Macaca fascicularis: one gene and its partner. Each later gene encodes a partner of the first gene's protein in a complex. Links are inferred from orthologs where the notes say so. Each region holds a gene or a part of one and is shown in the gene's direction. Other genes may lie near its edges. The genes, in order: FLNA and ITGA2B.

Evidence for each region.
Region 2: the proteins of FLNA (region 1) and ITGA2B are in contact, whole or in part, in an NMR structure (PDB 7SFT), measured with the Homo sapiens proteins. The link is inferred for Macaca fascicularis from reciprocal best matches to the Homo sapiens genes FLNA and ITGA2B. Residues at the interface, in NP_001104026.1 of Homo sapiens: Thr2263, Gly2267, Ala2268, Gly2269, Gly2270, Leu2271, Ile2273, Ala2274, Val2275, Glu2276, Gly2277, Ser2279, Ile2283, Phe2285, Asp2287, Arg2288, Lys2289, Gly2291, Cys2293, Val2295; in NP_000410.2 of Homo sapiens: Trp1019, Lys1020, Val1021, Gly1022, Phe1023, Phe1024, Lys1025, Arg1026, Asn1027, Arg1028, Pro1029, Pro1030.

Annotation. Positions count from the first base shown.
Region 1 is NC_088395.1:160,361,608-160,365,409, forward strand, and holds part of FLNA (filamin-A), read left to right. Parts: intron 1-562; 5' UTR 563-678; coding exon 679-1,051; intron 1,052-3,802. UniProt on the Homo sapiens protein: Promotes orthogonal branching of actin filaments and links actin filaments to membrane glycoproteins. Anchors various transmembrane proteins to the actin cytoskeleton and serves as a scaffold for a wide range of cytoplasmic signaling proteins.
Region 2 is NC_088390.1:65,449,024-65,453,285, reverse strand, and holds the start of ITGA2B (integrin alpha-IIb), read left to right. Parts: upstream 1-1,262; 5' UTR 1,263-1,294; coding exon 1,295-1,482; intron 1,483-4,262. UniProt on the Homo sapiens protein: Integrin alpha-IIb/beta-3 is a receptor for fibronectin, fibrinogen, plasminogen, prothrombin, thrombospondin and vitronectin. It recognizes the sequence R-G-D in a wide array of ligands.

The DNA of each region.
Region 1 (3,802 bases):
CAGTGCCTGGTCCGGGGCCGCCGCTCTCCAGGGGTTCGCTCTTAGGGTTGGCCCCTTCCCGCCGCTGCCGGGGCGGCGGACCGGGATGCCGCCCGGGAACCCTAGGCCCTGGGGGCCCGGGGAAAGGGGATGACGGTGGGAGGGTAGGGTTGTGCAGGGACGGGGCAGAGCCCAAGTGACTTAGGGACGAGAACCACCCCACCCCTCGCAGGAGCCCTGGGGAAGGAAAGTCCCTTGTAAGGCGCGCCGGCTGCAGGCCAAGCAGTCCCGCGCCAGATACTGCTCAGCCTTTCCTCGCTCTGGGGCGCGTTTCCTGCAGCGCCAACGCGAGGCCGCGGGGCTGGGAGCATCCTTGCCCACTCCAGGGCCCAGCGACCCACCCCGGAGCCCGGGTTTCACGTCTGATCAGCCAAAGCCCGGGGCCTAGTGGGGGCATTCCAACGGGCGGGGCGGGGTGGGGCAGTCGCGCCCCCGAAGCCCCACCCCACGGCCCCTCCCCGCAGGAGGCCCGCCCCCTGGCCCCGCCCTCCGCCCGCATTTAAAGGGCTCGCTCTCTCCGCAGCGCAACCTCTGCTTCCTTCCTCGCCTCCCGCGCGCCGAGGTGCCTGCGACTTTAATTAAAGGGCCGTCCCCTCGCCGAGGCTGCAGCACCGCCCCCCCGGCTTCTCGCGCCTCAAAATGAGTAGCTCCCACTCTCGGGCGGGCCAGAGCGCAGCAGGCGCGGCTCCGGGTGGTGGCGCTGACACGCGGGACGCGGAGATGCCGGCCACCGAGAAGGACCTCGCGGAGGACGCACCGTGGAAGAAGATCCAGCAGAACACTTTCACGCGCTGGTGCAACGAGCACCTGAAGTGCGTGAGCAAGCGCATCGCCAACCTGCAGACGGACCTGAGCGACGGGCTGCGGCTCATCGCGCTGCTGGAGGTGCTCAGCCAGAAGAAGATGCACCGCAAGCACAACCAGCGGCCCACTTTCCGCCAAATGCAGCTTGAGAATGTGTCGGTGGCGCTCGAGTTCCTGGACCGCGAGAGCATCAAACTGGTGTCCATCGGTGAGGGACGCCCCGAAGCGCCGGGCGGGCGGGGGCGGGAATTCCGTGCGTCCTTCCATCTCCCCGGGCGGACCCCTCCAAACCACCTCCTTCCGGGCTGCGGCGCAGCTCCCGAGGCCCCCGGCTGGTCTGCTCCACGCGGGCCTGGAGAACAAAGGCGCGCGGGCTGGCGGGCTGGCGGGCTGGCCGGCCGAGCGTGCGAACCGCTACGCGCCCCCGCCCGCCGCGCCCCGGCTGGCCGGCGCCCAGGCTGAACTCACCATCCTCAGCAGGCCGCGCCCCCGCAGATGTGCTCGCGGTGGGAGTGGGCCTGGGGGGTCGGGCACTGGGCAGGCTCTGGCCCTGCGCCCCATCCTCGAGGAGGAGGAGGCCCAGGCTCTCCCCCCACAGCTGTTTAGAGAGGGCCCTCTGGCTTCAAACTCCCCTTGTTTCTAAAGTGTGGGTTGGAGCTCGTGCGTCCCATTGTCTAGGACTCTGGGCTCTTTCTGTCCCTGGAGGATGCGTCGCCCATCGGAGATGGCTCCAACCACCAGTTTAGATCTACCTCCCCCACACACACAGGGAACCTGGGGGCCAGAAAGAAGCGTAGTTAGCAAAACTGTACCCGGAGTTGGGCGTGGTTGACTGAGGGACCTGGCTTGTAGACTACTTGGACGCCAACTTTTCTGTTCATCTTGGGACAAATTCTTGCTTCCATGTTGGCCTTGCTTTTCTGCGTATAGCACGCAGGAGTTGGTTGGTAGATGCTCCGGCGTGCACTGTGCCAGCCCAGTGTCTGTGTCACTGGACTGGTGAGGCTGGCATTGACCAGGCCTGCTGCAGCATCCCAGTTCTTTCTCAAGATAGGGGCTGCTTGGAAGGGCAGGCACCAGAACGGGTGACTTGGGGGTGACGTTGAACAGGGAGAGGAGAGGGATGATGATTCTTCTCTTCTTCAGAACTGAGAGGCCTTCCAGTTATCCCTGCAGCTCTGGAATGGCCCTTGCTGAACCCAAGAAAGTGAGGGACCAAGACTTGGGTTCCCCCAGCCACTCAGAGGGCAGATCCCAAGAATTGAAGTTCTTTCTTTGGAATGCCAGTTGAGGCGAGGGGCAGGCCCACCCCCCCAAGTCCCAGCCTCAGTCTAGCCAAGCTGAGTCATTTCAGAGTCCTGGATGGTGTGTGTGGGGGGGGGCGACCGGATGTGGGGAGGCGGGCCACACCCCAGTTCTTTGGCGGGGGTCTCCTCCCTCCTCCCAGCTCCCCTCCTCCTTGTGAGCTGGCTGGAGCAGGCCTAGTTCCCAGAGCTTTGCCATATAAGGCAAAAAAATGTTGGAAAGCAGCAGTGATTAGGGGAGGGAGGGGCTGGCTGGCCCGGGGGCTGGGGAAAGGGGGTGGGATGGGGCGGGGCCATCCAGCCAGGCAGTCTCCCAGCCCTGGGCCCTGGTCCTTCACACTCTCTTTTGGGAGGGGGATGGGGACGGAGTAGGTTGGCCTAACATGGACCTGGTGGGCCTGGTTGCTCCCGGTGTGGGGGTCGTTAAGGGGTCTCAGGCTGGATTGGGGTGGGGGCCTGATGGGAAGCCCTGGCTGGCCTTGTTCCCTGGCCTTGCACCCTCAGTCCTCTCTGAGCCCCTCTCCCCGCTGTCATTTAGGGAAAGTGAAAGGCAGCCTCGTGGGGCCAGGACCAATCTGGGAACTGGGGAGGCCACTCTACTTTGAGCGGCCCACCTGGCCCTCCAGGTGCTGCCTGCTGGGCTGGGAAGCAGCTGCCGTGGACGGCCCAGCCCCTCCTCATAGACCCACCCCCTAGTTGACTCACCAGAGAAGTATTTTGTCTGATTATGGGAGAGGCTGACAGAGCTTCTAAAGATGAGCTCTTAGAAAGCCCAAACCATCCTGCCTTGAGCCTGAGACCCAGAAGTAGCTTTGGGTGGGGCCCAGAGCCCAGCAGGGTTGCCATGGCAATGGGGGGTGTCGGGGACCCGCCCTAACCACTTCCCCTGTGGCGAGCCTGCCGAGGCCCAGGCCCGTTAGGTGGCAAGTGGATCAGGCAGTGGGTGGCAAGGGGGTTCCCACAGTGTCTCCTGCTGCCAGCCCGGCATCTCCCGATGGGCCCCAGTGAGTCAGGGCCATGTGGCCCAACTGCTGGTTCCTTTGGGCTCTGGGCCTCTCCCCTGGCCGGGCCTGTGGCCTCCCAGCTCCAAGCTTGGGTCTTCGAGGTGGTAGAGGAAGTGGAGGTGGTGGTGGGGGTCACACTCCTTTACCCAAAGGGTGTTTGCCCAACTCCCCCACTTCCCCTGCCTCACCCCACCCACCCTGGAACAACAGTTGTATTTCCCAACCACCCAGGGCCACCCGTCTTCCTCTTCCTCAGCCCCAGCCCCACTCCAGGCCATGGGCCCTGGATTCTGGGCCAGCTGGAGCCAATCTCCTCCTCCTGGTTCCCCATAGGCCCCTGAGGCGGGTGGCAGACCCCTGCTCTGGCAGCTGTGGACACTGTCCAGCTGTTCTCCAGAGCTGACCATCTGTGGGCTGGGTCTGCCCTCTGCCCTTCCTCTGGGCCCAGGGCTTCTGGCAGTAATCATACCCTGCTATCATCGCATGTCTGTGGGTATCTCCCCTTACCCCAAAGTCTCCTTTACTTCTGAACGCCCCCTGGGATGCTGGGCAGAGAGGGCCTCATCCACATCCTACCACTGGTCAAGACGGGGTGTCTCCCTCCTCCTTGGCCCCCCCATCCCGTGCTACCAGACCATGACCCCAAAGCCT
Region 2 (4,262 bases), on another chromosome or scaffold:
ATACAGCAATGGTTAAGTTTGGTCGGAAAATAGAAATCAAAAGGAAAATGTGGCTATGGTTACCCCTAGCAAACCTCTTGAATCTCCTTCCTGAGAACCTGCTTTTTTGGGAAGGCACGAGTGCCAGTAAGACTTGGCACTCCTCCTCTTCCGCTTACCCAGAGAAAATGACAGCCTTTCTGCTCAAAACTCATCCCTTCACTTTGTCACCCTATATTTGCATCTTCCATCCTTAGTGTGTGTTTCCGTCCAGTCGTTCGGCAATACACGTACTACATGTTGGACTCTTGGGTAGTCTCTAGGGCTGTAGCAAGGAGCCTTGCTCCCAAGGGACTCATTTACATAATCCTGTGAACAGACCATGAGTAAACAGTGTGCTCAATACTGTGCCTATGTGTGTTAGCCCATGCGGCCAGCCTGAGGAGTCAGGGAAGGCTCCCCTAGGCAAAGACCCCAACCAGAATCAAGTCTTAATGGTTAGACAAGAGCTCCGTCACCCAAAAAGGATTGAGGGCCTACCTTCAACTGAACAGCTAATGCATAATCTCAGAACCTGTGAGTCAAAATTCCCTGGAATAACTCCACTTTATCCCCAATATCCTTGCCACCTAGACCAAGGTCCGTTCACCACCCTGTCCCCAGCACTGACTGCACTGCTGTGGCCACACTAAAACTTGGCTCAAGACAGACAAGTGAGGAAGCTGCTGCGCCAGTATGGCTGGTTGAGGCCGCCCAAGGTCCTAGGAGGAAGCGGGTAAATGCCATATCCAAAAAGACACAGCAGCCTCAGGTTTTATCAGAGGGCAGCAGCTTCCTTCTCCTTCCCCAACCTCTGGCTAAGTCACAAAGCACCACAGCTGTACAACCAGATGGGGGAAGGGAGGAGATTAGAACTGTAGGCTAGAGTAGACAGGTATGGAGCAGTTCACAATCACGGTATCCCAAGCAGAAAGTGATGGTGGCTTGGACTAGCATGGTGGTATTAGAGATGGGGTAAAGATTCAAGAGACATCGTTGATAGGCAGAACCAATAGGACTTGGTAATAAACTATTCTCAGGAAAAGGGAGGACTCATGGCTTTCAGCTATGAGCATCCAGCCATGAGCATGGCCTCACCCACTTCCTGACAATTCTAGCCACCATGAGTCCAGGGGCTATAGCCCTTTGCTCTGCCCATTGCTCAGCAAGTTACTTGGGGTTGCAGTTTGATAAGAAAAGACTTCCTGTGGAGGAATCTGAAGGGAAGAAGGAGGAGCTGGTCCATTCCTGCCTGGGAGGTTGTGGAAGAAGGAAGATGGCCAGAGCTTTGTGTCCACTGCAAGCCCTCTGGCTTCTGGAGTGGGTGCTGCTGCTCTTGGGACCTTGTGCTGCCCCTCCAGCCTGGGCCTTGAACCTGGACCCAGTGCATCTCACCTTCTATGCAGGCCCCAATGGCAGCCACTTTGGGTTTTCACTGGACTTCCACAAGGACAGCCATGGGAGGTGAGCTATGAGGGAAGTTTGGGTATTGGGAAAGAGCAGGACCCCTCCCCATCACTGCTTCTGGGGGCTTCAAGTTTCCCATTTGTTATGGCAGTTGAGCAAGGTGACTTGTGGGGCCTATTCAGGTTGATTTCTTGTCAAGAATGCTGAGGTCTGGGGGACTGGCTCAGGTGAAGGTGTAAGGGCAGGGCACAGGTGTGGGTGATGGGCACTGAAACTATAGCAAGAACCAAGGGAAGACAAGAGTTGATGCTTTATTTTTTCCCCAAGGGTCAGTTGTATGAACCACACCACCCTCAACACCTTGAAATGTGGAGAGGAGGCTGGGCATGGTGACTCACGCCTGTAATCCCAGCATTTTGGGAGGCCAAGGCGGGTGGATCACCTGAGGTCGAGAGTTCAAGACCAGCCTGACCAACATGGAGAGACCTCGTCTCTACTAAAAAAAGAAAAAAAAAAAAATTAGCTGGGCATGGTGGCGCATTCCTGTAATCCCAGTTGCTCGGGAGGCTGAGGCAGGAGAATCATTTGAACCTGAGAGGCAGAGGTTGTGGTGAGCTGAGATCACGCCATTGCACTCCAGCCTAGGCGAAACTCTGTCTCAAAAAAAAGAAAGAAAGAAAGAAATGTGGAGAGGAGCACATGTCCTAAAATTGATTTGCAGAACTAAAGTTGTCTACCCTCCCCAATCTTGCATTTCTATTCCATTTCCCTCATCTCCACCAACATTATAAATTTTTGAAAAGAAGCAATAGGTCATTAATGGTTAGTATTGATCAGGCTTCAGAATCAAGAGTGCCCAAGATTAGAGTCTTGGCTCCTCTTCATAGTGTGTACCCTGAGCTACTTACCGTGAGAGACACAGTGCCCACCAGCTTCAGGGGGTGGCAATGGGTGGCAATGGCAGATAGCCTTCAAGTGTCAGCCACTTAGGGGATTTCCCTAAGTGGGAAGTCCCTGCTGAAGACAGCCAGTTCACTCAAAGTCCCCTCCCAAGGTGGCCCACATCCAGTGACTGAACAATGAGAAGTGGGCGAGTGGGGAGAGTGGAGGCGGGGGGTGGGGAGGCATTTGATAAGGGTCCAGCCCTCTTTCCCTCTTTCATCAACTCTAACAATTCTTTTTTTTTCTTTTCTTTTTTTTTTTTTTTTTTTTTTGAGACGGGGTTTGGCTCTTGTTGCCCAGGCTGGAGTACGATAGTGCAATCTCCGGCTCACCACAACCTCCACCTTCCAGGTTCAAGCGATTCTCTTGCCTCAGCCTCCCGAGTAGCTGGGATTACAGGCATGTGCCACCACACCCGGTTAATTTTGTATTTTTAGTAGAGATGGGGTTTCTGTCAGGGTAGTCTCGAACTCCCAACCTCAGGTGATCCGCCTGCCTTGGCCTCCCAAAGTGCTGGGATTACAGGCATGAGCCACCACGCCGGGCCTTTTTTTTCTTGTTTTCTTTTGAGACAGAATTTTGCTCTTGTTGCCCAGGCTGGAGTGCAATGGCATGATCCCAGCTCACTGCAACCTCCGCCTCCTGGGTTCAAACGATTTTCCTGTCTCAGCCTCCCGAGTAGCTGGGATTACAGGTGCATGCCACCATGCCTGGCTAATTTTTGTATTTTTAGTAGAGACGGGGTTTCACTATGTTAGCCAGGCTGGTCTCGAACTCCTGACCTCAGGTGATTCGCCCGCCTCAGCCTCCCAAAGTGCTGGGATTACAGGTGTGAGCCACCGCGCCCGGCCAACTCTGACAATTTTGAAAGGTCATTCTAGCTCCAGAGCTTGTGGGTGTTGGCGAATGCTGTCATTGGGCCTGAATCAGCTCAACTCCTTCCTGTGCCCACTCCTGCTTATCTCCCCTCCTATAAGTAGTGATCCCATTGGCACTACTTAAACATTCTGCGGTTAAAAAAAATTATAGACCAGACACAGAGGCTCACGCCTGTAATCCCTTAGCCTCCCAAAGTGCTGGGATTACAGGTGTGAGCCACCATGACTGGCCTATAAAAAAATGTTTTTTGGCCGGGCGCGGTGGCTCAAGCCTGTAATCCCAGCACTTTGGGAGGCCGAGACGGGTGGATCACGAGGTCAGGAGATCGAGACCATCCTGGCTAACACGGTGAAACCCCGTCTCTACTAAAAAATACAAAAAACTAGCCGGGTGAGGTGGCAGGCGCCTGTAGTCCCAGCTACTAGGGAGGCTGAGGCAGGAGAATGACTTTAACCTGGGAGGCGGAGCTTGCAGTGAGCTGAGATCCGGCCACTGCATTCCAGCCTGGGCAACAGAGCGAGACTCCGTCTCAAAAAAAAAAAAAAAAAGTTTTTTAATTAGCTAGGCATGGTGTTGCACACCCACAGTTCCAGCTACTCGGGTGGCTGAGGGGAGAGGATTTCTTGAGCCCTGAAGATCAAGGCTACAGTGAGCTGTGATCGTGCTACTGCACTCCAGCTGGGCAACAGAATGAGACCCGGTCTCAAAACAACAAAATTATTTTTTAAAATTATAGCATTGTTTCAAGAGCATTTGTTATGTATTTGGCTGGGACCATGCTAACCATTACTCGTATTTATTACATTTACTCCTGACCGTTTTGATTGGTTGTGAAAAAGTCATTGGTTGTGAAATTGGTATTCCTATTTCACAAATGGCAGAATTGTGATTTAAACCTAGATCTGCTAGGGTCCTCATCTCTATCAGCACACACACTCCAGCCCCACTTCAGAGGTACCTTCTACCTTCCCTCATTAAAACCAGCTCTCAAGAGGGGATCTGGGCCCGGCGCGATG